Linked DNA regions of Macaca mulatta. The protein of the gene in region 4 interacts with the protein of the main gene of each other region in a biochemical or structural test. Links are inferred from orthologs where the notes say so. Each region holds a gene or a part of one and is shown on either strand. Other genes may lie near its edges.

Evidence for each region.
Region 1: the proteins of HIF1A (region 4) and EGLN2 form a complex in vitro, tested with the Homo sapiens proteins (3 studies listed by BioGRID, with this or other methods). The link is inferred for Macaca mulatta from reciprocal best matches to the Homo sapiens genes HIF1A and EGLN2.
Region 2: the proteins of HIF1A (region 4) and RACK1 form a complex in vitro, tested with the Homo sapiens proteins (2 studies listed by BioGRID). The link is inferred for Macaca mulatta from reciprocal best matches to the Homo sapiens genes HIF1A and RACK1.
Region 3: the proteins of HIF1A (region 4) and NAA10 form a complex in vitro, tested with the Homo sapiens proteins (4 studies listed by BioGRID and IntAct, with this or other methods). The link is inferred for Macaca mulatta from reciprocal best matches to the Homo sapiens genes HIF1A and NAA10.
Region 5: of the proteins of HIF1A (region 4) and USP20, one has a biochemical effect on the other in vitro, tested with the Homo sapiens proteins (2 studies listed by BioGRID and IntAct, with this or other methods). The link is inferred for Macaca mulatta from reciprocal best matches to the Homo sapiens genes HIF1A and USP20.

Annotation. Positions count from the first base shown.
Region 1 is NC_133424.1:51,919,518-51,925,739, reverse strand, and holds the start of EGLN2 (egl nine homolog 2), read right to left. Parts: upstream 4,204-6,222; 5' UTR 4,136-4,203; coding exon 3,299-4,135; intron 1-3,298. UniProt on the Homo sapiens protein: Prolyl hydroxylase that mediates hydroxylation of proline residues in target proteins, such as ATF4, IKBKB, CEP192 and HIF1A. Target proteins are preferentially recognized via a LXXLAP motif.
Region 2 is NC_133411.1:190,283,658-190,289,849, reverse strand, and holds the start of RACK1 (small ribosomal subunit protein RACK1), read left to right. Parts: upstream 1-2,222; 5' UTR 2,223-2,326; coding exon 2,327-2,435; intron 2,436-2,722; exon of another isoform or gene 2,723-2,790; intron 2,791-3,767; coding exon 3,768-3,939; intron 3,940-4,221; exon of another isoform or gene 4,222-4,300; intron 4,301-4,415; coding exon 4,416-4,563; intron 4,564-6,036; coding exon 6,037-6,132; intron 6,133-6,192. UniProt on the Homo sapiens protein: Scaffolding protein involved in the recruitment, assembly and/or regulation of a variety of signaling molecules. Interacts with a wide variety of proteins and plays a role in many cellular processes.
Region 3 is NC_133426.1:160,174,600-160,179,444, forward strand, and holds the end of NAA10 (N-alpha-acetyltransferase 10), read right to left. Parts: intron 4,232-4,845; coding exon 4,159-4,231; intron 4,112-4,158; coding exon 3,963-4,111; intron 3,763-3,962; coding exon 3,718-3,762; intron 2,470-3,717; coding exon 2,385-2,469; intron 1,845-2,384; coding exon 1,608-1,844; 3' UTR 1,542-1,607; downstream 1-1,541. UniProt on the Homo sapiens protein: Catalytic subunit of N-terminal acetyltransferase complexes which display alpha (N-terminal) acetyltransferase activity. Acetylates amino termini that are devoid of initiator methionine.
Region 4 is NC_133412.1:134,832,078-134,837,766, reverse strand, and holds part of HIF1A (hypoxia-inducible factor 1-alpha), read right to left. Parts: intron 1,135-5,689; coding exon 1,022-1,134; intron 380-1,021; coding exon 177-379; intron 1-176.
Region 5 is NC_133420.1:17,730,735-17,736,423, forward strand, and holds the end of USP20 (ubiquitin carboxyl-terminal hydrolase 20), read right to left. Parts: coding exon 5,599-5,689; intron 3,634-5,598; coding exon 3,531-3,633; intron 3,026-3,530; exon of another isoform or gene 2,469-3,025; coding exon 2,397-2,468; exon of another isoform or gene 2,174-2,396; intron 2,055-2,173; exon of another isoform or gene 1,748-2,054; coding exon 1,587-1,747; 3' UTR 1,571-1,586; exon of another isoform or gene 1,144-1,570; 3' UTR 18-1,143; downstream 1-17.

The DNA.
Region 1 (6,222 bases), on a different chromosome or scaffold from region 4:
ATGGGCAAGGCCTCCCCAGTTAGGAATCCAATCAGAGATTACACTGATGATGCACGTGGATGGGTGACAGGGAAGGGGTCCAGTGCTGCACCCTCTTCCACCACAATCCTTCCCCACACAGCAGCCAGAGCCCCTCTTCTCCAGGTCTTCGCTGCATCCCAAGAAAATACAAATTCCCAGCCACAGCCTCAAAGGCCCCCAACCTCATGTGCCACTCCCATCACTCCGCTCCATGCCTCAACAGGCTGAGCTCATCACCACCACAAGGCCTCTGCCCTGGCCTGGGACACTCTCCCTTCTGACCCTCCTTGTTCTTCAGGATTCAGAGGCCAAGGGTCACCTTGAGTACTCCAGCTGATTGTCCATTCCACTCCTAGCAACATGGCATCAGCACAGGCACCTGTTTACCTAGTACTGGCCTGGAAGGCAGCCACAGCGAAGCCCCTGGGGCCACGTCAGTCTCCCCAGTGCCCAATGCAGTACCTGCTGACTGAGCACACTGCTCTGGGCCTCCTCTGCACCCCAGCCCTGCTGTGTTCCCTCCTGTCCTGTACATTCTCACACAGCACCTCCCACCAAGCACACAGGACACATGCAGAAACAGGAACCTGCTCTTTAGGGCCCCACCCTTCCCCCACATATACACACCTTGGGGGTGAAAGCATCCTCTGGCCCCAAGGAAAGTATCTACTTCCTGCCCTCACAGGGGAAGGCCTCAGGAAACTTGCTCTCAACCCCTCCCACCTAGGGGAGGGGCAGGTGGGACCAGGGCCAGGAGACTAAAGACTTAAAGGCTATTGGTGACAATGGGCCTGCCAAGAGACCCAACACCACTACACACACCCCCCAGTCAGAAGCCTGTGACTGTCCCACCTCCAAGCTGCTCTTCAAGGAGTAAACCAAGCAAGGTGGACCCTCCCTGGGGTCCCCTCTGGTGGCCCTTGCTGCCAGTGGGAGTCAACTCTCTCCCAACTACAGGTCAACCGAGCACCTGTCCCCAGTCAAGGAGTTGGGGGAAGGTAGAACACAGGAGCTCCACTAAGAACGGACTAAGAAGCAGATTCCCACTGGCTCTAGCCCGCCACACTGGTGATCCATGTCCCCACGGCAACTGCTGTGGCCCACCTCAGCACCCCACAGCCTTACCCTGGAGTCCAGCAGAGTCCAGATGGCGCCCTCTAAAAGCAGAAAAGCCTGGAGTTGTTTCTCACTGGGGAGGGGACGGCTGGCTCCTCCCCTATGTTCCCAGTCCAGCCTGGCCTATCCTTACCTCCCTAGGACAATTAGGGTCACCTAAGGCTAAAAAGGTCCAAACACTTCCCCTCTCCAATCCTCGCCGGGGCCCTGTCCCCAACCCCCTGGAAGGTGGGCACCAGAGGCACCAAAAGACAACAGATCCGGCCGGGCACAGTGGCTCACATCTGTAATCCCAGTACTTTGGGAGGCCAAGGTGGGTGGATCACGAGGTCAGGAGATAGAGACCATCCTGGCTAACACGGTGAAACCCTGTCTCTACTAAAAATACAAAAAATTAGCCGGACGAGGTGGCGGGCGGTAGTCCCAGCTACTCGGGAGGCTGAGGCAGGAGAATGGCATGAACCTGGGAGGTGGAGCTTGCAGTGAGCCGAGATCTCGCCACTGCACTCCAGCCTGGACAACAGAGCAAGACTCTGTCTTCAAAAAAAAAAGACAAGAGATCTTCTCCTTCTACTCTCCCCACCCCAAACTGCCACAGACTCGCTGGAGATGTAACCTGGTTTTCCTGTTCCGTGGATCAGCAAATTGAGGCTCAGAGCAGTGTCCCATCTGGGCCACTCAGCCCTTCTGGTCTCCCCCTGACGAGGACAACAGCCAACCTGGTGTGAAGATGCTGAGCCAGGGAGGCCACTGATCCTGCCCGCACGGAGCCAAGCCCAGGGAGGGGCCGGCTCTGGCTCAGCTATCAAGTAACGGGAGGGAGAGGGAAGTAGAACAAGTTCCAGCTGGGGTGGGGAGGAAACAGGCCTTGGCCCCGGGGGAGCCCTGGTCCCTGAGCCAGCTCCAGCCTGAGAGGAAAGCCACACAGAGGCAGAACCCAAGATGGGATCTGCAGGAGGAGGCAGGGGACATCAGGAGCTCAGCCTCATGCCTGCAGGGCACAACACAGCCCGTGCCATCGGCCAGCCAGGCATCGCTGTGTTGAGCAGTGGGCACTCCCCACAGGGCCCTGTCCAAAGGACACCAAGCCCTGTACTCAAGGCCAGGCCCCCACACCACCTATGAAGACAGTGATCCTGTCAGCACGCCGGAAGGGCCCTGTGGACCACTGCCCTGTGCTGGGCTCCTGACCCCAGGTTCCTGAACAGGCAGCTGGAGGCCATGAGGCCTTGATAACTGCCTGGAAACTCCAAGCAAATGAGTATTTGTTTTAAGAGAGAATCTGTGGCCTCTGACAGATTCTCAAAAAGACCCAGACTCCAAAATACAATTAAGAACTACTGTTCTAAAGCAAAAAGAAAAAGAGACTAAGAACAAACACATAAAGGCAGAGAGAAGAGACAAACATGGGAAGGGAGGAAGTGACACACAGGACAGGGGGAATGGATGGCAGGGACTGGGACGGGGAAGGGTGGGAGACATGGGGATGAGAGCTCCACCTGGGTCAGCAGGCAGCGACCCAGTACCAGCCCCAGGAGACTGTCCTCGATGCAGATGCCACAGTAGGGACCCAGGGCACAATGCAGTCCAGGGCCAGGCACTGGGCCTAGCGGGCAGCACCCCTTTCCTTCCCTCAGCCCAGGGCTCACTCATCACACCCTACCCGTTCTGCTTCTCCTGCCTGGGAGACAGATGAACGAACTAGAGACATGGGCCAGCAAACAGGGATGGACAACAGGAGCGCAGGGAAGGATGCGGACAGGGACAGACAGCAACAGAGGACAGACAAGTGAACTGTGTGCCTGTCTACATCACTGCGCTTGGTCCGGGGCCCCAGACAGACACCAGGAGGCCATGAACCCCACCAAGGCCCATGCTGTGAATGTCAGCAACTCTCATGAGTTTCTTCAAGAGAGTTCCTGGCAAAGTCAAGAACCACTGTGGCTCCAGGACAAACTCCTAGCTTACAGGTGCACACATTAAGGCCCACAGGGAGGACAAGGCCCCCCCGAGTCCCCACAAGTGAGCAACCCACTCCACTGAACTGCCTAAACCCAGAAGCCCCCCAGAAGCCTGTCTCCAAACCCACTGTGCTCAGAGCACTGAATGCCAAACCAGGATGCTGCAAAGCCCCGCCAGAGAGGCCCCCACCTGGCCTTACCTTGGTGCGCCCGTTGATGACATAGCTGCCCAGCCGCCCTGCGCAGTGGCGGATGACGGCGTCCACGTGGGCCATGAGGGCACCAATGCTTCGGCAGCCTGCTTCATGGCCTTCCACCCAGGCAATCTGGTCCCCACGGATGCTGCGCGGCGGGATCGCCCGCTGGCTCACTAGCTGCCCGTCTCGCAGGCGCCCACCCCGTTTGAGGGCCTCCACCTCGGCCAGCACGCGGCCGCCCAGCGCTGCCCCCAGGAAGCTGTCCTTGACGCAGATGCCGTAGTACCGCATGCAGGGCACGATATAGTCCAGGGCCAGGCGCTCAGGTGCAGAGGGCAGCGCCTCCTCCATCAGCCCAGCACTGGCCTCACCACTGCCACTGCTGCAGCCGCAGCTCATGCCACCCTCCCGCTCTGCCTCCTGGTTCTCTTGCCTGGCCCAGGGCCGCTTGCTGGGTGAAGGGGCATCCCCACCATCCTCGGCCCATTTCCGTTTGGGGGCCTCAGGCCGGGCGCCCTGGGCTGCCAGTCGCTGGCACCCCTTGGTGACCAGCGCTGCAGCGCCTTCACTCTGCAGCGGCCGCAGCTCACCACCATCCTGCCCGCCAAAACCGTCCCGAAGGGGGCTGGCAGTGGTAGAGGTGGCTGTAGCTCTGGGAGTCCCACTCCCCGCTGAGGCCTCACTAGGCACTCCTGGACAGTGGTAGGAGGGGAGCAGGGGACAGGGCAGGTAACTCTCCACCCCCATCCTGGCCCGGCCAGGCTCCAAGGGCTCTGACGAAGACCCTGGTAACTGAGGGAGAGCCTGACTTAGGGGCTGCGACTGGCACGGGCTGTCCATGGCAGCAGTGTCTTCATCCCCCGGGCATGGAGGGCACCGCCCGGGCCCATGGTGCCACCCTCCTCCGCCTCCTCCTCTGCCTCTTGATGCAGCTGGGGGCCACCAGGCCTGGCGTGGGGCAGGGTGAGGCAGGGCAGACAGCAAGAGCTCTTCTCGTGCCCTGGGGGTTGCTTGCTGGTCCCCAAGTCCTCTGCCGTCCCTAAGGGCTTGGGAAGGGACCCTTCAGGGTGGCTAGAAAAAGGAAAAAGAAAAGGGATGTGAGAGGAGCTAGAGACAGGCAGGCTAGGGAAAGAGGGGATGGCATGGGCAGGAGTGGGGAAGACGACCAGGACAGACTTGACTATAGAGGTCCCCCAAAACCTGGGGCCAAGTCGGGGAGAAGACCCTGAGAATCTGGAGGTGTGAGAGTCCGCTGACAGACAAGGGACAGTGATAGGGAAAGGCTGGAGGCCAGAGGCTGGGTAGACGACCCTAAGACAGAGGACTGTGGTGCGGGTTGTGGGACGCGGTAACCAAAGACAGAGAAAGGAGGGCTGGAGTAGAAAAGGGTGGTGTGGAGGGGTGGGAAGGAGGGAGTTTGGAAAATAGGAGGGATCTGCCTCGGCGTTCCAGAGACAGACAGAGAAATGTGGGGGATTCTGAGAGAATCAGAGTTGGGGGCGGGGGGGTCAAAAGACAGAGGAAACTGGGGAGTCCAAAGACAAAGAGAACGAGGGACCCAGAGACAGAAAAACAGACCGGAGGGAAGCTGGGAGGGAAGCTGGGAGGGAGGGCCCGGGACGGAGCGGGGCGGTAGGGTCGACCCGAGCCCGACGGGAGGAAGCCGGCCGGGGGCGGACACACGCCCAGACGGAAGGGAGGTCCCGAGACTGACCGAAGGGAGGGGCCCTCGGGGAGAGGGTCCGCGGCGGCAGAGGGAAGGACGGAAGAGGGTGCACGCACCCGGAGACAGGACGAGGGAAAAAGGCACCCTCCTCCGGGGCACCCCCACGCCCCCAACCCCGGGCGGGCCCTGAGGCCACTTTGGAGAGCTGTAGCGACAGGGACAAGGCCTAGGGGCCGCTCGGACCCCCTCCCCTCCCCCTCCCCGCGGCCTCCGCCCGGCGCGCGCTCCCCGCCCCCACCCCAACCCCCCCAACGGCCGGCACCCAACGTCCCCGGCGCGCGTCCCCTCCCCCGCGCCGCACCCACATCCCCCTTACCGGGGTCGCCCTGGCAGGCCCCGGCGGGCGCCCCCACACCCCGCCCTGTTCGTGTCGGCGCCCCGGCTCCGACTCAGTCTCCTCCCGCTCCCTTCTCGCCCCGCGACCTCCTCACCAAGCTTTTTCCTCCGGCCCCGGCGCCGCCGTTTGTGCCAGCCGCCCTGCGCCGCACAGCGCGCCATACCCCGCCCCCACCGCGCGCGACGCCCCGCCCCGCCTCGCCCGTTGGGCACGTGACCGCGCCCCAACGGAGGCAACGGCGCCTGCGCAGACCTGAGCCGCGCTGGGCGAGGAAGTTCGGGACAAGCCCCCAGCCAAGGAAAAAGGAAACAGGGCTCCGTGGCCGACACGAGGTTCATTTGCATCATCCTCCGCCCCGCCCCCTTTGCGCGGGAGGGGGATCGCAGTGTGAGGGGCCGGGTCTGGGAGGGGGCGTTTCCTGCATGTTGGAATCAAGTGGCGTTGGCGGGGCGGAGCACGCAAATTATGTGATTTACACGAACAGGCCCACCCCGCGTTCCCCCCCAGCGCGGGCACCGGGTTCGGCAGCGCGGTGCGCGTGACTTCATTTACAGGGTTAGCTCCTCCTCCTCCTCGCAGCCCAGGAACGGGGGTGAGAGATGGATAAATGGCTGCGCAGTTAGTTGGCAAATGTATGTAAATTCGCACGTCAGTAATTTACATAAGTATCTTTTATAACGGAGGAGAAAAAGTGCGGGATGCCCTTGAGAAAAGGGAACGCGGACTAGAAGGGATGTTGTGCCAATGTGTATTTTCAAGACCCGCTCCGCCCTGCCCCCTCGGGACAATCGTGGGAATCAGAATAAAGAACCAGGGAAAGTCTGGGCAACAGAGTGAGACCTTATCTTTACACAAAATTAAAAA
Region 2 (6,192 bases), on a different chromosome or scaffold from region 4:
TCAGGGAGGCGCTGGCGTGACCCGAGTCGGGGGCAGCAAGCTGGTTAGCGGGTGGGTGAAGGCAGGGGTCTTCCACGACCACCACAGAAACAAAACACCTGGGTCGGGATTGCGTCTTGTATTGGAAAAGCGAAAGAACAGTCAGCTGGGGGTGCCAAGAAGGCAGGTGATGTACAAACCTGGAGCCTTAGGATGGTCCACAGGCTGCGGAGGAGCACAGCCAGGACAGCGTTCCGCGGGGCCCGACAGAGACTGCGGCGGAAGGCAGGGGAATCTGCCATGGACCAGTTGAGCAAGCTGTTTCAGGGAGGGATCCAGGCCTCTGCACACCTGGGCGTGTACAGCCTGCGGCAGCTCTGCCACCGTTCCTCGCCTGTCTTCTGCCTTTACGCAGGCTTTCTAGCAGACATTGCCAAGGTTCTTCTCCAGGCCTTCAAGGCCGTAGGTTAACTGCGCCCTCCATTTCACTGCTCTGTCCTCAGCCCCTCCACACTCCAGCTCAGTACGTTGGCACTAACTCTTCCCTCCGATTGAAACATTCTTCCCCTACACGACGTCCCTCCACGGAACATTATTCTCCCATATACCCACAGTGCGCTCTCCGTGTATCTGCTCCAATGTTCTCCCCTCTTCGCATACCGCCGGAAGTAAGCTGCAAATAAACCAGAGTCCCCCGTCTGTCTTGTTCACAGCTTTGTCCCCAAAACCTAAAATAAGGCTTGGTACCCAAGAGGTGCTCACTAAGTTTCACAACATTTACTCTGCCAGACGTTGTTCAGGGCGCTTAATTTGCTTCTTTACTTTCCACACCATGTAATGTAGATACTAATGTTATTTCCAATCTCATTTCACAGATGAGAAACAAAAGTTGATAGATGTCACAAATAGAAATGTGACATCTTTATTTTGCATAGATGTTGGTGGCTGCTATCATCCTGATATGTCCTCCTGTTTAAAACTACTTGAAGAGACACGGTGCCCAATACTCTTATAGTCAGATGTGAGAGAATGAGAGTCATTACTTGTTTAAATTCCTGAGGTAGAGTGGAAGGCAGAAGGACAGCTAGGTATCCGTGTTCCACCGCTTCCCTGTCTGGGCACGTCCTTCAGGGTGCAACTGGACCCCCAGACGCCTGGGCTTTTGTGTGCAGTGACTGGGCCCAGAGAGAGCTTTCCAGTGGATGTCCCCAGAAGTCAGAACTTTAAGGTCCTCCTTTGGGCGTTTCCGTTTCTGCGAGAGCTTCCCGTGTTCTGACCTAGGCAGGAATGGATTGGCAGTCTAGCAACACACAGGGCAATTTTCACCTTATTATTTTATTGTATGTATGTATGTATTTATTTGAGTCGGAGTCTCGCTCTACTGCCCAGGCTGGAGTGCAGTGGCGGGATCTCGATTCACTGCAACTTCTGCCTCCCAGGTTCAAGGGATTCTCCTGCCTCAGCCTCCCGAGTAGCTGGGATTACAGGCACCCGCCACCACACCTGGCTAATTTTACTTATTTATTTATTTATTTATTTATTTATTGGAAAGAGGTTGCATCATGTTGGCCAGGCTAGTCTCGAACTCCTGACCTCAAGTGATCCACCCCCTCGGCCTCCCAAAGTGGAATGATTACAGGCACGAGCCACTGCGCCCGGCAAAAAGAGACCAATTTTTAGTACATCCAGAGTAACCCTCTCCTGCCTTAGTCCAGCCTGGACTAAGTCCTTCCGGAGTTGGTGTGCATCAGAACAAAAACCTCTTGAGGGAGGACGGTCCCGCGGAAGCACAGTTTTAAAGTTTATTTTTAAAATTTTAATGCCATACTTTTTTAAATTGCCCATCGTTACCCACGATAGTGAACTGAAAATTAAGCTCTCCTGTGGTTGCCCCGTCAACCCTCCCCGCACCAAGTGGAACAGGCGGAGCTCGAGCTACGCCACATAGGGGCGGGGAAGCCGCCAGGGAGTCCTCATGGGAATGTGCCGTACACTTCACCTCTTTCGCTTCTCGCTCTACATCATCCCTGAGAAGCCTTTTTAAACACTTGAATGTGCTTGTTTCAGAATGTATTTATAAAGCGCTGTCAGATTATGTTGTACGGAAGTGGGGACTGTGATGCCGTGCAATTTCCCTTTGCCTTTTGCATTACATGGCGCCGCCATCTTGAGCAGAAGTGTATCATGGGGCTCGCCATTTTACTTGGTCGAGTGGGTATTTCCGGTTCCGGCAGAGGGCTTCTCTCTTTCACTGCAAGGCGGCGGCGGTAGCGGCTGTGTTGCTCGTTTCTCTGAGCCATCCAGTGCCATCCTCGTCGCTGCAGCGACACACGCGCTCGCCGCCGCCATGACTGAGCAGATGACCCTTCGTGGCACCCTCAAGGGCCACAACGGCTGGGTAACCCAGATCGCTACTACCCCGCAGTTCCCGGACATGATCCTGTCCGCCTCTCGAGGTACGGACTAAGGTAGATTTCAGGACCCGAGATTGCAGGGCTGGGGGATTCCGCGTGGTTCGGGCAGGCCGGTGGCGCGCGCGCTGCCGGGGACTGACAAACTTCTCTGCCTCACTGTGATTTGGGGCGTGCGGACGCGAGCCTAGGCCTCAGCCCGGGCGAACCACATTGCAGATGAGGACCTAGACGTAGAGCGGCTCGTGGCTGTTAGGGTTGGAGAGTTGGAAACTTTTAAAACATCTTCTGCCTTCCCCTTCGTAGTGTGGTCGGGGGCCTACGGGCCGGGCGGGGCGGTGATGACCCCAACATGCCATCTGAGTGTCGGTGCTGAAATCCAGAGGCTGTTTCTGAGCTGCCGCCCGGCCCAAGGCTCGTGGGGAGGCGGGTGGACTCCAGAGGACCTCGTGGCTCAAGTCTCGTCCTACTTTTTCTGCCCCTGGGTCTCCCCTCCCCGTCCCTATCCCTGTGTGCCTGACTGCGTTTGGACACTTGTTGTGCTTCCCCTTTGCTCCTACACTGTTAAGAATTGTGTGACTCTTGAATCATGTCTGGCTGTTAATCGTAAAATTGTTGAGTGGGACAGGTTTCAGTAAAAGCATCCGATCCTGTAGCGCCTAAAGTGGCTTTTCCAGCATTCATTATAACATTTCTGTCGGCCCTCATGGGAGGCATGGGAGGCCCCAGCTACTCTACAGCCACGAACTGCTGTGCATTCGGTTGCAGAGAAGATACGTGGTGGCTGTTGAGTTCGTCTGAGTTTCAGGAAAGGGTGTCTGTAATTTCTGGCACCTAAATTAAGTTCTCAGGATACAGACCGGGCACGGTGGCTCACGGCTATAATCCCAGCACTTTGGGAGGCAGAGGCGGGCGGATCACCTTAGGTCAGGAGTTCGAAACTAGCCTGGCCAATGGTGAAACCCCATCTCTAGTTTAAAAAAAAAAAAAAAGCCAGGCGTGCTGGGGGTGGCCTGTAATTCCAGCTACTAGGGAGGCTGAGGCAGGAGAATTGCTTGAACACGGGAGGTGGAGGTTGCAGTGAGCCGAGATCATGCCATTGCACTCCAGCCTGGGTGACAGAGTGAGACTCCATCTCAAAAAAAAAAAAAAAAAAGAGTTATCACGGTACAGTTTAGCTCTGCGTGCGTTTTTAGTCTGGAATAGAGCCACTCAGTCCTGGCCTGTAACTGCTCTTGTAGTCTGTTGTTCCATCCCTCCTTAAGCATCCTTAGTTGTTAACCCACTCATGACCTTGACACTTAGTGAATTATCCAGTGTGTTAACAAACTGGCTGCGGGTTCCTCACTGGTTTTTCTTCTGTTTGGCCGCTTTTAGATAAGACCATCATCATGTGGAAACTGACCAGGGATGAGACCAACTATGGAATTCCACAGCGTGCTCTGCGGGGTCACTCCCACTTTGTTAGTGATGTGGTTATCTCCTCAGATGGCCAGTTTGCCCTCTCAGGCTCCTGGGATGGAACCCTGCGCCTCTGGGATCTCACAACGCAAGTAGCTGCTCACTTAGCTCTGGGGCCTTGGGAAAAAATCTGGGCAGAAATGTGGTGGATGCAATTGGCTGGTTTCCCAGGGGAGATCCAGTCCATTTGGGAACTGGAAAGCAGACTGCACCTACAGAAGATGTTTGGCCTCCCTCGCTTTGAATTAGTTACTCAGGATTGCTGAGGAGTGTGGTTGAACATATCTACCAGGTGCGACAGTTTTGAGTAGGCAGCAGTTTGAACATGTTTTACCTTGAAAGCTGAGGTGATTGGCAGGTGGAATTAGAGGGTCCTGGTGATGACAGATGACATTGTCAGCCAATCCCCATGTGGGAGTGAGGACATGTCCTGCAATTCTGAAGGGATTCTTTGTCATATATGTGTGAGTAATGCAATGAGACAGAGACAAGGCCCAGGAATCAGTCTGACCCTTGAATGAGAATGTTTGTTAAGTCTGAGAATGACAAAGTCCTCCCTCTTAGGGGCACCACCACGAGGCGATTTGTGGGCCATACCAAGGATGTGCTGAGTGTGGCCTTCTCCTCTGACAACCGGCAGATTGTCTCTGGATCTCGAGATAAAACCATCAAGCTATGGAATACCCTGGGTGTGTGCAAATACACTGTCCAGGTAAAGTGAGGCCATGGTCAGAGAGCACATCTCCAAGGATCTCTCCCACTCTCTTAACCTTTACTTTTTTTTTTTTTTTTTATTTTGAGACAGTCTCACTCTGTCGCCCAGGCTGAAGTGCAGTGGCGCTGTGTCAGCTTACTGCAACCTCTGCCTCCCAGGCTCAGGTGATTCTGGTGCCTCAGTCTCCACAGTAGCTGGTGCTACAGGTGCGCACCACCAGGGTGGTCTCGAACTGAGCTTAGGCAGTCTGCCCGCCTCAGCCTCCCAAAGTGCTGGGATTACAGGCGTGAGCCACCATGGCCTGCATATCTTTACCCTTTTTTTTTTTTTTTTTTTAAAGACAGTTTTGCTCATTGCCCAGGCTGGGGTGCAATGGCGTGACCGCAGCTGACCACAACCTCCGCCTCCCGAGTTCAAGCAATTCTACCTCAGCTTCCCAAGTAGCTGGGATTACAGGCATGTGCCACCACGCCTGGTTTTGTATTTTTAGTAGAGATGGGGTTTCTCCATGTTGGTCAGGCTGGTCTTGAACTCCCAACGTCAGGTGATCTGCCCGCCTCAGCCTCCCAAAGTGCTGGGATTACGGGCGTGAGCCACCGTGCCCGGCTCTCTGCCTTTTTAAAGTCTTGGCTGGGCTCATGCTCTGGTAGGCCAAGGTGGGAGGATTGCTTGAGGACAGGAGAGCAGCCTGGCCAACACAGTGAGACCCCATCCATAAAAATTTTTATTTATTTTGAGATGGAGTCTCACCCTGTTGCCCAGGCTGGAGTGCAGTGTGCGATCTTGGCCCACTGCAACCTCCGCCTCCCAGGTTCATGCCATTCTCTTGCCTCAGCTTCTCGAGTAGCTGGGACTACAGCATGCCCAGCTAATTTTTTTGTATTTTTAGTGGAGACGAGGATTCACCGTGTTAGCCAGGTGGTCTTGATCTCCTCACCTCGTGATCCGCCCACCTTGGCCTCCTAAAGTGCTGGGGTTACAGGCGTGAGCCACCGCACCTGGCCCTTTTTTGAGATGAAGTTTCACTCGTTCATTGCGCTGGCTGGAGTGCAATGGCACAATCGTGGCTCACTGTAAACTTCGCTTCCTGCGTTTAAGCAATGCTCCTGCCTGAGCCTTCCATGTAGCTGGGATTACAGGCACCCACCACCACACCCGGTGAATTTTTGTGTTTTTGGTAGAGACGGTTTCACCATGTTGGCCAAGCTGATGTCAAACTCCTGACCTCAGGTGATCCACTCACCTCGCCCTCCCCAAGTGCTGGGATTACAGGCGTGATCCACTGCGTCCAACCCCCGTCTCTAAATTTAAAAAGAAATTCTTATCTGGAATCTAAAGGGATTCTGTTGACCTTAAAGGTTTGGGTTCTGGGTTTTTGAAAGGTGCTGCCAGCCATCATCTGGCTGGGGGGGGGTCTAGCATTTCATGGGATAGGACTGTTTCCCCTTATTTCCTTTTCATCCTCTGTAGGATGAGAGCCACTCAGAGTGGGTGTCTTGTGTCCGCTTCTCGCCTAACAGCAGCAACCCTATCATCGTCTCCTGCGGCTGGGACAAGCTGGTCAAGGTGAGCTTCAAGCCAAGGCAGGGGCTTTACCAGTCAGGGTGTGCTGTGCTCCCAGGTGGT
Region 3 (4,845 bases), on a different chromosome or scaffold from region 4:
TTGCGAACCGGAAGACACTGACGCCAGGCGCGGGGCGGGCCAGAGCTCCGCCTCCGGCCCATACAAAGGGAAGCCCACGTCTTAAGCCAATCAGAACACAGCCTCGCCCGAGCCGGGAACCGGAGAGCTGCGGGCGTGCGCAGACGCGCCTTTCCGGCCCCGGCCCCGCCCTGCCGGTCTCCGGGCTCCGCTTCCACAGCAGCTGGCTGCCTGCTGGTCACGTGCCAGGCGCCAGCCAAAGAGAACCGAGCTCCAGGTCTGTTTGGCGAATTTTCAACCTGGCGGAGGAGCAGTGCCACCTGCAGTAGCAGGGTACACAGAGGGCTCAGGAATACAGGGCCCGCCCAGGGACTAGGAACAGCAAGCGATGGCTTTGCAGCCGGAGGGAAGGGAAGGGAGGAGACACAGGAGAGAGCGTTACGGTTAGGGTGACTCCATGAAAAACAGGATTTTGGTGTGTGTGTATTTATTTATTTATTTATTTAGAGACGGGTCTCTGTCCCTGGAGTGTGGTGGCGTGATCAGGGCTCACAGCAACCTCCACCTCCCGGGCTCAAGGGATCCTCCTGCTTCAGCCTCCCGAGTAGCTGGGATTACAGGCGTGCACCACCACACCTGGTTTTCTATTTTTAGTAGAGATGGGGTTTCGCCATGCTGCCCAGGCTGGTCTCCAACTCCTGAGCTAAAGTGATCCGCCCACCTCGGCCTCCCAAAGTGCTGTGATTACAGGCATGAGCCACCGCACCCAACAGCCACCCAGTTTTGTATTCTGCATGAAATTATTTTGAGGGAATAAATGGCTTTATGTATTTGTGTAACCCCATAGAAACTGTACAACACAGACAGGAAACCTAATGTAAACCATGGGCTATAGTTTACAATAACTTATCAGTATTAGCTCATCAACAATAACAAATACACCAACTAATACAAAATGTCAATAGGGCAAACGGGGGGAATTGTACTAAAAATAAATTATTTTCAAATGCAAACTCAGGGAGTAGACTCAAGAGGTATCATGGACTCACTGACCATTAGGGTGGCAGGGAAGGGAGGACTCAAGGACCGTTGACAGGGCGTCTGGCTGGGTCATTATACTCAGGACAGCTGTAGATAAGCCCAATGAGCAGTCAGATGTCCACATCTGGAGCCCACGGCTATGCCGCAGAGCTGCTGTAGCCCAAAGCAGGTGTGATTAGGGAGAGAAAAGGTCTGAAGGTGAAGATGGGAGGAGAACTGAAGGCTACCAAGAGTGGGAGCCCTGCTGTTGAGCTTTGAGCCTAAGCGGCCCAGGCTTATGCCACAAAACACATTCAGCGTGGCCAAGCAGACCTCCAAGGCAGGGTCTCTCCCTAAGCCCAGGGCCTCCTTCCCGGGGCCACAGCTGCTGAAGGCCATGAGACTGGGGAGTCCCACCTCCAAAGCTCTTCCCTTCTATTCGGACTGGCAGGATGCTCTGGGTCAAAAGGCTGAGGCTCACCTCCCCACCAGAGGACCTGGAGAAACACACCCTCTAAATGTGCACACGCACACACACGAAGTTCCCCAGTGCCACGGAGCGAATTTATTGTGAAAGCTCGTGGGGTGAGGAAGGGATGGGGCAGGCTCTAGGAGGCCGAGTCGGAGGCCTCTGAGCTGTCCTTGACATCTGTGCTCTCTGTGGTCTCGCTGACCTCGCTGAGGTCCTTGCTGTCCCCACCACTATCCTCGGCAGCCAGGCCCTTCTCCTCGCGACAGGCCTCTCCTGAGCTCGGAGGTGAATTGCCTTTGCTCTCCACCTTGTTCTCGATGGCACCCAGCACCACATGCCTGCCCTTCTCCTTCAGCTCCAGGTGCCGCCTCAGCTGCCACCAGGAACCCAGGGAGAAGCAGGAGGTAAAGAGATGGGGCCTAAGTTTCCAGACAAAGGGAGCCTGGCCCTGTCGCTGGCTGAGGAGAGGGGCATAGTGAGGCAGCAGGGCTAGGCAGGACACGTGGGACTGAGTGGGGACACCTGGCTGGAGCCCCAGTCCACTGCTACCTGGGCTCACTGACTACCATGGAGGCCCCCACGACACAGCGTTGCCCCTTGACCAGCCCTGCCACCCAAGGAGCCTGGGGCAGAACCCTGACTCAGAACTACCTCTGAGCAGGCAGGCCACCCACTGGTCCCCAGGCCTCCCCACTTCCCTTCTAAAAGCCTCCTCCCTCTGCCTCTCCCATCACCCTCCAGGCTGCTAGGCAGACGGCCTCCTCTAAAGCCCAACCTAGGAAACTGAGGTTGTGACTCCTGGCAACATAGCCACAAGGGCTGGCATTCAAAGTTGGTCGCACCTCCAGCCACTGTCTCGGGGCTCCCCAATGCCACCCCCGCTTGCCTGGCTTGGCTTCATGCAGGCTCTTACCTCGTCGGCCATCTGAGTGAGGTCTCGCTTCATGGCATAGGCGTCCTCCCCATCTGCATAGTATTTGGGCTCCACTTCACTGATCCTGGGGGCAGAGGGTAGAGAGCAAGGAGGAAGACCCATACCTGGGGGACACCCTCCTCCACTCCTAGTATCATGGCTACTGGAGCAAGATGCCGTGTTTTCTCCCTGAAGGGCTCCTTCCTGAGACAGCAAGTCCAGTGTGACCTGCCCTCTGTTCTCTCCAGCAAAGGCTCCAGGAAACAGCGGCCCGCCCCACCCCTGTCCTGCCCCCGTTCTGTGTCCTTAGCCTGGCTACTAAGGATTCATTTCTGTGGTTTCTTGTGAGCTGAATTCCTGAATTCAGCCTTCCCCTTCCCTCCCTGCCCTGCGTCCTGTCCCTTACTGAGCTGCCTCACAACAGCCATCAGAACCCAGGAAAGACAGTGAGCTCTGTTTAGGGGAGTCATCCCTAGGCAGCACGGGCCCTGCCTGAGCAGCTCAGGGGCCATGCCTGCACTGGGGAGGCATGTGTGCAGACTCGGGTGGCCATGTCCCTGGAAGGGGAGCTGGACTCAATGGCCTAGGCTGGCCCTGCCAGGCCTAAGACATGAGGATTGTTGACTTAGCTATAAAGCAGTTCCCACCAGACATCCTCATCTGGGTCACAGATCCCTCTTGCCAGCATCCAGCCCAGAGGCCACTGCCCTTCCCAACAGTCCCTCCTCTTCACCCCTGCCAAACAGGGGCTGACTGCAGTTAGTGTCCCTCCACGGGCAGCCCACCCCAGCTTCACTTGCAAGCACTTTTTTCCACTGTCTACTGGGCATGCTAACTGCCAGGTCCTCTCTCCTGTGCTAGGCACACGGGGCCTCCCGGTCCTCAGGCAGACCTGCCCCATCCACTAGGTTGCCTGGCCGCCGGTCCTTCCTTCCTGAACGTGCATTCTCCTTGATTCTGCTCTCTCTTGGATTCTTCCAGGTGCTTGGCCATGCTATGATCTGCTCACGCCAGGGACCCACACCTCTTTATTCCCAAACATTACTAAACAGCCCGTGTGCCCTTCACCAGCCTCTGCCAGCATGGGCCAGAGCTCCTCCATCACAACACACACGGAGCACGTTTCAGCAGGCAGGTGCTGTCTCCATGCCGGCTTTTCAACCATCAGCCACCGAGTGAATGTGGAGGCATCCTGGCAGCACTGGGGTCCACAGCGTCCTCCCCACATCCGGCCCACCCCTAGCCTGGAAGGCAACTCAGCCGGTCTCAGGTGCCCTGATGGGCCAGACCTGGGGCCAACCCCAGCCCACGAGAAAACTCGAGATCTACTTACTGAAAGTTGAGGGTGTTGGAATAGAGGTGCAGGGCGGCCCGGTTACTGCAGGGGAACAAGGCACTGCTGAGCTGCACGGACATGGCCAGGGAGGGGTAGCACGTCCAGTGCCTGCCCCTCCTCTTGGTCCCTCCTTCACCCCAATCCCACTTCCTGGATCTTCACCAAAAGCCGAGGTACCCCAGGACCCCCGTCAAGGCAATATCTCTCCCCCTCAATCCCCCTTCCCTCAGCCCGGCTTCCACCTCTTCCTGACATGCAGGGAGACGTATTTGGCATTGAAGTTCTCTATCATGGCTCGAGAGGCCTGGTCCATCAGTTTCTGAGCCAGACCGAGGCGCCGGTGGGAACGCTTCACAGCCTGGTAGGAGAAGAGCAGAGAGCGGGTGAAGGACTGGGACCTTGAGGGCTGCCTCAACTAACCCCCACTTCCACCCCCACCAGAGAGCCTGAGTGAACCTTACATACCAATGAAGTGATATGTCCATGGGGCACATCATCTGGGTCCTCTTCCCTGGAGAGGGACAAAGCAGAGGCTGCAAAGGAGCTCAGTGTAGGCACAGCCACCCCCACCCCCCGCCATCTGTAAAGTGGATATGCAAATTCTAGGCTGGCCCTACAGCCCCCTAAGACCCCAGCTGGGGGAGGGCCAGGAGCCTCTTGGATCAGAGCAGCTGATCCTGCCACCCTCTACTGCCTGAAAACCCCATGCCTGCCAGGTATGGGGCACACGCCTATAGTTCCAGCTACTCGGCAGGCCGGGTCAAGAGGATTGCTTGAGCCCAGGAGTTTGAGACCAGCCTGGACAACACTTTTTTTGTCTCTACAAAAAAAAAAAAATCAAAAAATTAGCTGGGTGTGGTGGCGCATGCCTGTGGTCTCAGCTACTTGGGAGGCAGAGGTGAGAGGATCACTTGAGCCTGGGAAGTTGAGGCTGCAGTGAGCCATGATCATGCCACTGCACTCCAGCCTGGGCAACAGAGCAAGACCCTATCTCAAAAAATAAAAATAAAAAAAGAAATGAGCTGTCAACCCACGCAAAGACAAGGCAGAAGCTTAAATGTGCACTACTAAGTGAACAAAAGCCAGCCTGAAAAGGCTGTATACAGTATGATTCCAACTCTATGA
Region 4 (5,689 bases):
CTCAAACTCCTGACCTCAGATGATCCATCCCACCGCGGGCCTCAGCCTTCCAAAGTGCTGGGATTACAGGTGTGAGCCACCATGCATGGCCAACACTGAATCTTTGCTACGGTGAATATTCAATAATGCTGTAGACTAATTAAAACTTTCAAATTCACATTTTAGATCTAATTTACCTTTCGTCACAATAAGAAAATTTCATATCCAGGCTGTGTCGACTGAGAAAAGTCTTGCTATCTAGAGGAATTTCAATATTTGATGGGTGAGGAATGGGTTCACAAATCAGCACCAAGCAGGTCATAGGTGGTTTCTTATACCCACACTGAGGTTGGTTACTGTTGGTATCATATACGTGAATATGGCCTGTGCAGTGCAATACCTGTGTATGAAGAAGAAAACAAAGCAGTTAACAAAAATTTTACAATGCTAGGAAAAAGAAAAAAAAAGCAGAGATAAGTTGTTGAGTGTGACATGGCCAGTAAGCTTTGATAAAATTTACTGTCACTAGTGGATTAACCAGGTTTTTGAAAATCAATGAACGTTTTTCCACCACCCATGACCTACTTCCTGCCCAGGGCCTATACATTACTGTTTAAAAAATTCCCCTCATATAAAGTCTAGGCTGCTTTTTCATTCATCTCATCATCCGGGCTGGTTTGATAGTTATTTCTTGCACTGATGACTATGTCTCAACATTGAACAAAGATACAAAACCATGATTAATAGAAAATTAAGCCCTACCAGGATCCAAATATTGTGTGGTTGGCAAAGCCAACTGATTAGGTAAGCCTAGTATACCAGTGCCACAATTCACCTAATTTAAGTTTGTGCCTCAAATTGGCAAATTACTACACGGTTCTGGATTTTAGGAATCATATGCAAATCAGTTGAAGGTATAAATGTTACATAACCAAACACCAAGGAACTGTAAACCTTCCCTCACAATTCTAAAGTTATCTTAATACTGCAATGTCTATGTATAAATAAAGTGTATCATCAATCACAAATAATTTTCACTTACCTTCCATGTTGCAGACTTTATGTTCATAGTTCTTCCTCGGCTAGTTAGGGTACACTTCATTCTGAGAAAAAAGCTTCGCTGTGTGTTTTGTTCTTTACCCTTTTTCACAGGGCCTAATGAAAGCATGAAATAAAGTTTTAAAGCAACTAAATATACAAATTTGTTACAATGAAAGTAGCAAAGTGCCCATCACCTAGATCAACTGAATACCTGTTCAATTAAAAGTCTCAGCATGAACACAGTAATTCATTCCCCTTTTACTCACTCCAGCACACCCAAGAGATCTGACACATACTACTCAGTAGCTCTGATTCCCTGAGTTGACTGAAAGATAATCCGTATTTGGGATAACAGTTAATCATTCAAGCAAGTAAGTTTAGTCAAACTACAGAGAAATATAAAAATGGTATGAGTTTGCTCTTTAACTGTGCTATTGGTACACAAGAATCCCTAAAGAAAGAACTTCAGCAAACTCTTCCTATTCTTTCCTGAATGTGTTAGCTCAATTTCTAATAAGCACTCTATGTATTTACAGAACCTTTAAAATAGCAACTTTCTTTTTAATAACAAATAACATTTTTACATATCTTATTTTTTCCCCTTAATTTATCTAGTAAAGCAGGCAGAAAATTATTTCTACTTTGTTACTATAAGAAAACAACAACAGATCAAATGACTTATCAAAAGTTACAGAAATAGGGCATGGTGGCTCATGCCCGTAATCCCAGCACTTTGGGAGGCTGAGGCAGGAGGATCACTTGAGGTCAGGAGTTCGAGACCAGCCTGGCCAACATGGTGAAACCCTGTCTCTACTAAAAATACAAAAATTAGCTGGGTGTGATGGTGGGTGCCTGTAATCCCAGCTACTCGGGAGACTGAGGCAGTTGAATCACTTGAACCCGGGAGGCGGAGGTTGCAATGAGCTGAGACTGTGCCACTGCACTCCAACCTGGGCGAAAGAGTGAGAATCCATCTCAAAAAAAAAAAAAAAAAAAAAAAACTACAGAAATAAAGTAAAGTCAGAATTAAGTAAAGTCTATTCACTCCTATTTCAAACCTTCTATAACTAAAAATGAGATTATATTTAGGTGACTAAGGAAATAGCATCTTGCTGGGCATGGTGGCTCATGCCTCATGCCTGTAATCCCAGCACTTTGGAGGCTGAGGCAGGAAGATCACTTGAGGCCAGAAGTTTGAGACCATGCTGGCCATCATGGTAAAACCCCATCTCTACTAAAAATATAAATATTAGCTAGGTGTGGTGGTGCACGCTTATAATCCCAGCTACTTGGGAGGTTGAGGCGTGAGAATCACTTGAACCCAGGAGGCAGAGGTTGCAGTGAACTGAGATTGTGCCACTGCACTCCAGCCTGGGTGGCAAAGTGAGACACTGTCTAAAAAAAAAAAAAAAAAAAAAAAAAAAAGGAAATAGCCTCTTGATTTCTTATCTTCATTGGTCAATGTACTTCAAAACACATATAAAAATATTTATTATTTAGAACCTGGACTAGAGATTGCAGGCAATACAAAGATGAGTAAGACACACCACCTTTCCTGAAGAAGTTAAAAATGTAGTAGATATAGTAAGGTCAACAAAAACACAATGTAGAGTTGGTACTTGAGACTTATAAAAATGCTTTAAGGGAGGATAGGGAGAGCTTAGAGGAATAACTTCTAGTCAAGGGGAATCAAGAAGTCCTGCTTAGAAAAAGAGACATTAGAATGTCAGTAAGTAGAGATGGGTTAGAAGGTTCCAGGGAGAAGGAAGAGAATGAAAAGCACAGAGGTAGGAAAAATAGGACATGTTTGAAAAACTGCATATAGTAGTTTGTCCACAATGTAAAGTACACATAGAAGAGTAGGAAGGCAAAGTCAGAAGGGAACGTTAGGGCTGTACTACGGAGGCCTGTGGATGTCCACATGGAGTCCTGCCTAAATATTCAACAAGGGGCTTTTAAAAAGCACAATCAGTAACTTAAGGAAAATTAACTTAGCAGCAATATATATGTTAGAATTACGTGACTGTAATGAGAGGGCTGAGCCAGTAGCAGTAGTATGAGTGAAAAGAATGGTGGTAAAAGACAAATGAAGAGGTAGATCTTAATAGACTTGAAAACGGATGGAAATAAGACAGGAGAGAAAATCAAATCTAGAAATTGTAATGCTAGTATATTGGAAGAACACTGTCAAGTAGAAAAGAAATGAGAGTAAGTTTAAATGTAGGCATGGTTAGCTAGAAATACTGGACTCTTAAGGAACAAGATGAATTCTAGCCTATACTCATTTAATAATGGAACTAGGCAAGATGGGCAGTCCTGGTACTGATGCATGCCACTTGTGTTTACTTAGATAAGAAGTGAATTTGCCCTCCCTGGAAGGATTCAAGAGTATATTTTTAAAAGATGCCATGAGAGCAAAGGGTGGGGGTGGGAGGCGAGGGGAAGGGAGGGAGTGTGGGAGGGAGAGAGAGAGAGAGAGAGAATGAGTGTGTCGTGTGTGTACGTAGGTGGTGATGGTTGTGGTAGTGGCAGTAAAGATCCACATGCAAAATCCTTTGGGTATGTTCAGTCCTTCATAATCTAAGCTTGAATTATACTGACCTTTGAAAAGAACCCAAGGCCTTTGAATGGGGACCTGCAGATTAATTTAAAAATCAAGGTAACTGAAAAGTACTAGTGTTTTCCTAATGAGGAAAAAAAACACAACAAACCATTAAAAAAAACCCCTAAATTTTAAACTCTCTAAAAATAAGTCTTATTTTGTAATAATTTATAAATTCTAAAGCATTTTTCTAGAATTTATACGGAAGAATAATAGGACTGTTTGTCCTATTATAAACACACCACTGGCTCTCAGTGTATCACTAAAATATGATGCTTTGCAACAGTCCCTAGTTTCTAAAAGAGAAAAATCTGCATTTTAGTTTCCCAATGGAACATCAATAATTCATAACCACATTAGGAATGATTTCAAAATGTTTGTGTGCTTTAAAAAAGAACATTTGGTTCGAAACATACATTTAAACTATATTAAGACTATCTGATTTAGAATAATGCATTAACATCATTACCAAATCAGAACAAGACTTCCTAATATCCATCCATTTATAGTCTAGCCCCAGGGAAGCACTGAGCAGTCAATATAAACCTCAACTCTGCACATTAGAACTCATATATTAAACTCACTGACAGCCCACTTAGGTCCTTGCTCATCGCATATTTACTCCTCCTTTATACAGAATTCTAAAAAGTACGCATTTGTTTTCCAAATTAACAGTAAAAACACAATATGAAATTTAAAAACAGGAGTCAGGTCCCGCTGACAGCGTGAAAAAAGACAGAATGTGAGAATTCAAGAATATGAAAAGCGCTCCAAAGGACTAACGAGCGTGGACTCTGAAGCCAGTCTACTGAAGTTCAGCCCAAGCTCTGCCATTTACTAACCAAATAATGTTGGGAAAGTTACTTAGTAACTCTGTGCCTCAGTTTCCTGGTAAAACAGAAATTGTCTAACAGTTAACTTCACAGGGTTGTTGTGAGGAATAAAGGAGTTAAAAGCATATAAAATAGGAAGAACAGCGTCTTGGCACAGAGCATTCTCTCAATGGAGGTTAGCTATTATTATAATAAATGATATGAAAAAGAAAACCTCAAATATTATACAAAAAATAAATTTGAGGTTGTATAATATAGAAGCAAACAAACGTATGCACTTAAATTGGAGAGCAACAAAGGACAGCAGAACATAAGAAATTTTCCTTGTGGTATCTTTCCATCATGAAGAAAAGTTCAATTATGATCAGTATACACTGCTTAAGGAGGCACAAATGTGGAATGACTTGCTTGAATTGTTTTTGTAATTCAAGAGGTACTTTCCAAAAATCTTAGAACACATGATTTTTTAAATAATTACGATCAGTATACACTGTTTAAGAACACACAAATGTAGAAAGACTTTAATTTTTTAATTCACGAGGTACTTTCCAAAAATCTCGGAACACTTGATTATTTTTAACAATTCATTCGTAAGAATTAGCGGTCTTACTGTCTATTTTTGTTAATATGTGGGCCTCCACAATGTAATACTTATAATCTAACTACACGGTCTTGAATTATTGAGAACATCCAAAGAAGTCAGATAAGCAGTTGTTTGTCTTAAAATTCTGGTGAACTTTTTTTTATTGGGCCTTAGACTCAGACTGGCACCTCAACTTTAATGATTCTCTAAAGTCCTATTATCTGCCATTTGTATTATAATTTCTCCATGCCTTAATGGTGTATTTTAATTTTTAACTCCACCAGGTGTGGTGGCTCATGCCTATAATCCTAGCACTTTGGGAGGCTGAGCCGGGAGGATCACTTGAGTCCAGGAGTTCAAGACCAGCCTGGGCAATACAGCGAGAACCCCCATCTCAATTTTTAAAAAAATGGTAGCCTGGGTGATGGCTCATGCCTGTAATCCCAACACTTTGGGAGACTGAGATGAGAGGATGGTTGAAGCTCAGTAGTTCAAGACCAGCCTGAGCACCACAGTAAGACTTCGTCTCTACAAATGATTTTTAAAAAATTAGCTGGGCATGGTAGCACGCGTCTGTGGTCCCAGCTAACTTGGGAGACTGAGGTGGGAGGATCGCTTGAGTCCCAGCAGTAAAGGCTGCAGTGAGCTGAT
Region 5 (5,689 bases), on a different chromosome or scaffold from region 4:
AAGGAGAGACGACAGTGTGGCTGTGGGAATGTTTATTCTGTGTTTATTCTGACATTCTGAACACAAACTAGACAGCACAGAGGTGGGGCCCGATCCCAGCCTGCACAGCTGCGTGGTGACAGTGCAGCGTGCGGCCTCTGGCTGCAGCAGCAGCTTTCAGAAGGCTGGGGCCAATGCCAGGGAACCCAGGCTCAGCCGGGAGGGAGCAGGATCTGAGAGAGAAGATCCGAAAAGTGAGGCCTCGGGGCCTCTGCCGGACCCACCTGCTGGAATTTCCACCACCATCTGCTTCTACAGAGACTGATGACCACAGAGGTGTGGGGGTCTGGTCCCAGAGCCCCTTCCCCACCCACGCGCCATCTGCTGTGACCCTGACGACGGCCGCATCTCGCTCTGGCGGTTTCTCCAGGGGCTTTGGTGCCTTGCTGTGCTCACTGGGTCCTTCCACTCAGCATCCAGAGGCCGCTTCCCAGGATCCGCCTGAGCGCTGCCCCCTGCACGCCCCCCACACGCTTCCAGGTGGGCTCTGCACTGCTGGCGCTGGGAGGAAGGGGAAGTCTGTCTTCTCTAGCGTCGGCCCGGGAAGCTGCCTTTGCAGCAAATGGCAGCGCTGTGAGGTATCCCTGTTTCATCATCCGGTTCCCTGGTGGGGGCTCAGCAAATTTCCCATGAAGATGAACTGCTGAACTTCCAGGCAAAGTACAGCCAATCCAGGGGCAGGCTCAGCAGGATGCGGTGTGGGGGACCAGCTGCCTCCAGAAATGTCCCCCACTGGCAGAAATCCACCCTCCTCCTGGCATTCCAATCAGCAATGAGTCCAGAGTCTCCAGTCTGCAGGAAAAGTGCTGAAAGCAGCCTGGGACTTCAGAGCCTTCCTGGTGACGCCCAGGAGATGCAGGGGTGCGGCGGGACCATCAGGGAGGACCTGTGAGCTCCTCACTGGCCAGGGCTTCTGGCTGCGCTCACCAGTCCGGAGCAGCTCCCTCCAATCTTTGGGGATCAGGGCCAATCTCATGGCAGAAACGGTGGCGGCAGAAACGGTGGCAACGCTGTGAAGCAGCAGCTACTCCCTGACTCTGGCCCCAGATGCATCCTCTGCCTGAGGGGGGCAGCATCGGGCTCCAGGAACAAAGCTGGGCCGAGCTAGTAAGAGGACAGTTGTGGGGGACACAATGATGACAGTGACTGGCAGGAGCACTGCCAGGACAAAAACCCAAATTAACGTCACAGAGTCTTGGTCGTTTAAACAAGCCTGAAGTGCACGTTTTCCAGTTGCAGCGTTACTCACTGCGAACCAAACCAACTTTTCTGCCTCTTTACACAGCGGGGTTCTGCAGTGGCCCGGCCTCTCTTCTGGGCACAAACACGCCTTCCGCGGGGTGGGGCACACAGGGCTGTGGGGACACGGGCACTCAGCAGTGGGGCTGGGCACGTCCAGGGCCTCCCTACAGCCTCCAGGAAGGCGCCTTCAGGGACCTGCCCTTTGGATGCTCAAAGGGACACGTGAGGGTCTCTGGAGAGGGAGGAGAGGACCCAGAGTGCCGTGGAGGGACCGGCCAGGGCCACTTACAGACTAGCCCAGCAAATCACACTGCCCGGGTCTCGGCTTCGATCTTCTGCTCCCCGTGCAGGCTCTCCGGGCCCGGCGGCTGCACCACGCTCTGGCGGATGGCGATCTCGGGGCCGCCTCCGTACAGGCTGTTCAGGTAGTTCCAGGTCTCCTCTGAAATCTGCCCGTAGTCAGCTCCTGCAGGGCACGAGAGGCATCCCTGGGCTCACCTTTGCCGCCTCAAGGAAGCCACTGGCCTGGGCAGTGGGGGCTCCGCAGGGCCAGACCCCAAAGGGGGAGGACGGCAACCAGGGCATCTATGCAAAGCCGTCAGATGGAAACCAGGATTTCCCAGAGGAACGTCCGTCCTGCTAAGGGCCCCGGAGATGTGTTATTTCTGGCTGTGTCCCTCGTTTCTGGGAGTGGCGCTGACATAAACAGCAGGGTGGGCCAGGCCAGCAGCAGGCGGAGGGGTGGGACCCGGGGGACACAAGCAGACAGCAGGGTGGGCCAGGCCAGCAGCAGGCAGAGGGGTGGGACCCGGGGGACACAAGCAGACAGCAGGGTGGGCCAGGCCAGCAGCAGGCAGAGGGGTGGGACCTGGGGGACACAAGCAGACAGCAGGGTGGGCCAGGCCAGCAGCAGGCGGAGGGGTGGGACCCGGAGGACACAAGCAGAGACCAAGCCCCTTGCGCCATCTCTCAGCCGCCTGGGCCTGGACTCAGGTGGACATCTCAGCCTGACTCTAAGACAGGTGGGAAGGGGGCTCCTGGAAGGACGGGGCTGGGCAGCAGCCTGGCAGCCAGGAAGCGCAGAGAGGAGCCTGGCTGACGCCGGGGGAACTCACCCTGCTTCAGCTGGACGTGGCCGCTTCCTTTGACCTGTGCAATCCTGCTGTTGTCAATGGGCCCGGGGGGCTCTGGAACAGACACAGCAGGCTCGGGTTCAGCCCCTGCCACGCCCTCCACCCTCCGCAGCAGCAGAGCCATCCCAAGTGAGGCCACCCCAGGCCTGGGGGTCAGCGAGAAGTCTCTAAAGGAGGTGCCTGGGCCACCCAATGCTCCTCTGCGGCAGTCTGAGGACCCAGCAGAGGGAATTTCCAGGATGCACGAGATCGTCTCAGACTCTGTGCTGGCCGCGGGAACTGCGGTGGGCGGCCCATGCCCTCATCTCTGCTGGCAGCTGCCACTCACCACGCCCCTTCCCCTCTGCCCAGCTGTCTCATTTAGCCTCAGCAGCCACAGGACAAGACAGAGGTTTACAGAGACAGAGCCGAGGCCTGGGCAGGTGAAGTAACCACTCAGGTCACAGCTGGTAGAAGGCAAGGCCACCGTCCAGGCCAGGGTGGGGGTTCCGGAGCTACGTTCTCAACCACAGCCACGCTGAAGGCCTCAGCCACCACCAGAGGTGCCTCAGGGTGGCCCTGGCACCTTCCCTGAGCAGCGGGATGGCAGTGGGGCCTTCCTTCCCGAGCACAGGTGGGTGCTTGTGCTCCACACAAAGGGTCCCGTGAGCAGGACCATGGGCTCTGCCCACCCTGCCGGGCCCCAAAGCCACAGGCAACTCATGGCTGGCTCTGCTGTTCCTCACTGGGGGTCTGGGGGGCCCTGGGAGCATCCTTGTGATGGGGCCTGTCTCCATCTCTGTAGATCCAACGAGTTGGATGACAAATCTGTCATTTCGGGCAACACGCTCCCCTGAGGAAAGGGCCTTGCAGGAGGGCAGAGCAGCTTGCTGGGCACGGCAGGGAGTGGAGAAGGGGAGGGGCGCAGAGCAGAAGCAGCTTCCTGCCTCTGGGTGGGGACAGCGATCCCCACTGGGGACTGGCAGAGCCCCATGCTCTCTGTCCACCCTGGATGGGTGGCACCTGGGGGAAGGTACGGGGCCTGCAGGAGCCCCCGTGTGCCAGCCCTCCCCTGCCAGCATCCCATCTCCCAGGAGGCCCCCGGGGCAGGTAAGTGCCAGGCCCCCCTCAGCTCACCGTTGTCCTTCCCCTTGACGAACGCCTCCCACTCCCGGAACCACTGCATGCTGATGCAGTAGATGACGCCCGGCGACTCCTCGGCCTGGAAGGCCTTGTTCAGCTGGGCAGGTGGGCAAGGACGGGAGGGGACAGAGGGCAGGTCAGCCTCTATTTACCTTCAGCAAGGATTTCCCAAATGCCCCCGCCCCAGGCCCTCACCCAAGAGTCTTACAAAAACACCAGATGCTCAAGGTGAAAAATCAGAACCCCCAGACAAGCTCAAACAAAATGAACACACCCATCGCTCAGAGAGGACAGTGGCAACATTTTGTGGGTCTCTTCGATAACTGTTTGACCCAACTGAGACCACAAGGGAGATGCTACTTTTTGAGAGGGAGTCTCACTCTGTCACCCAGGCTGGAGTGCAATGGCACGATCTCGGCTCACTGTAACCTCTGCCTCCCAGGTTCAAGCGATTCTCCCACCTCAGCCTCTTTTGAGTAGCTAGGACTACAGGTGCGCGCCACCACCTGGCTACTTTTGTATTTTTAGTAGAGATGGGGTTTCACTATGTTGGCCAGGCTGGTCTTGAACTCCTGACCTCAGGTGATCCACCCACATCGGCCTCTCAAAAGTGCTGGGATTACAGGCATGAACCACTGCACCTGGCCTGGCAGATGCTAATTTTCCCCGGTTGAATAGAATGTGCCTATCTGCTCAGAGAGGCAGCTCTCCTTCTGACAGGAGCAGTTTCTTTTTCTTTTTTCTTTTCTTTTTTGAGATGGGGGGGGGTCTCACTCTGTGCCCAGGCGGGAGTGCAGCGGCGCAATCATGGTTCACTGCAGCCTTGACCTCCTGGGCTCAAGTGATCCTCCCACCTCAGCCTCCTGAGTAGGTTGGACCACAAGTGCACACCACTATGCCCAGCCCTGACAGTATCTTTTTTGTTTTTGTTTTGAGACAGGGTCTCTATTGCCCAGGCTGGGGTGCAGTGGCACGATCACAGCTCACTGCAGCTTCAACCTCCCAGGCTTAGGTGATCCTCCCACCTCACTCAGCCCTCCAGGTAGCGGGGACTACAGGTACACACCACCGTGCCCAGGTAATTTTTGTATTTTTGGTAGAGATGGGGTTTCGCCATGTTGGCCAGGTTGGTCTTGAACTCCTGGGCTCAAGTGATCCACCTGCCTCGGCCTCCCAAAGTGCTGGGATCACAGGCATAAGCCACTGTGCCCAGGCAGCAGAATCACTTCCTAATGGCCACAAAGCACGGGCGTCCCTCAGTGTCTCTCGCCGGGCCTTCCCTGTGAGTGGAGCACATCCTAACCCTGTTAGAAGTAGTGTGGCAGGGAGGGAGTGTGCCAGGAGCCTCACCTGCACTCAGCTCTTTCACAGAAGTCTGAATGACTGGAGGTCATTTTGGTTGTCACTAGCACTAGTGAGTAGAGGCCAAGGATGCTGCTAAACATCCTACAATGCATAGGATGGCCCCACAGTAAAGAATGATTCAGCCCAAAATAACACAGCCAAGGCTGAGAACGGGATCCATCTACTGGTTCTTTAAGCTCAACAGCACCCGGGCGATGAGCCTTCACTTACTCAAGCCAACCCTCTCACCAGGAAAAGTCCTCCTAGACACCTCGCCATCTAGTCCCCCGCAGAAGACTCCTTTCCTTTCTTTTTTTTTTTTTTTCTTGAGACAGAGTCTCACTCTGTTGCCCAGGCTGGAGTGCAATGGCACAATCTGAAACTTCCGTCTCCCAGGTACAATCGATTCTCCTGCCTCAGCCTCCCGAGTAGCTGGGATTACAGGCACCCGCCACCATGCCCGGCTAATTTTTGTATTTTTAGTAGAGATGGGGTTTCGCCATGTTAGCCAGGCTGGTCTCAAACTCCTGACCTCGAGTGATCTGTCCGCCTCAGCCTCCCAAAGTGCTGGGATTACAGGTGTGAACCACCGTGCCCAGCCTCAAAAGACTCCTTCAAACTTGCTCAGGGACTACACAGGGCTCTTCTGTCCCCAAGTCCCCAAGTGCCCCAGGCAGAGGCTGGCACAGCTGCCCCCGTGCTGCCTTGCCACATGCACCTTGATGAAGGTGTCGATCTCGATCCTCCTGCGCTTGGCCAACGCCTCGATCTCCACCTGGCAGATGGAGCACACGTACAGGTGGTTGACG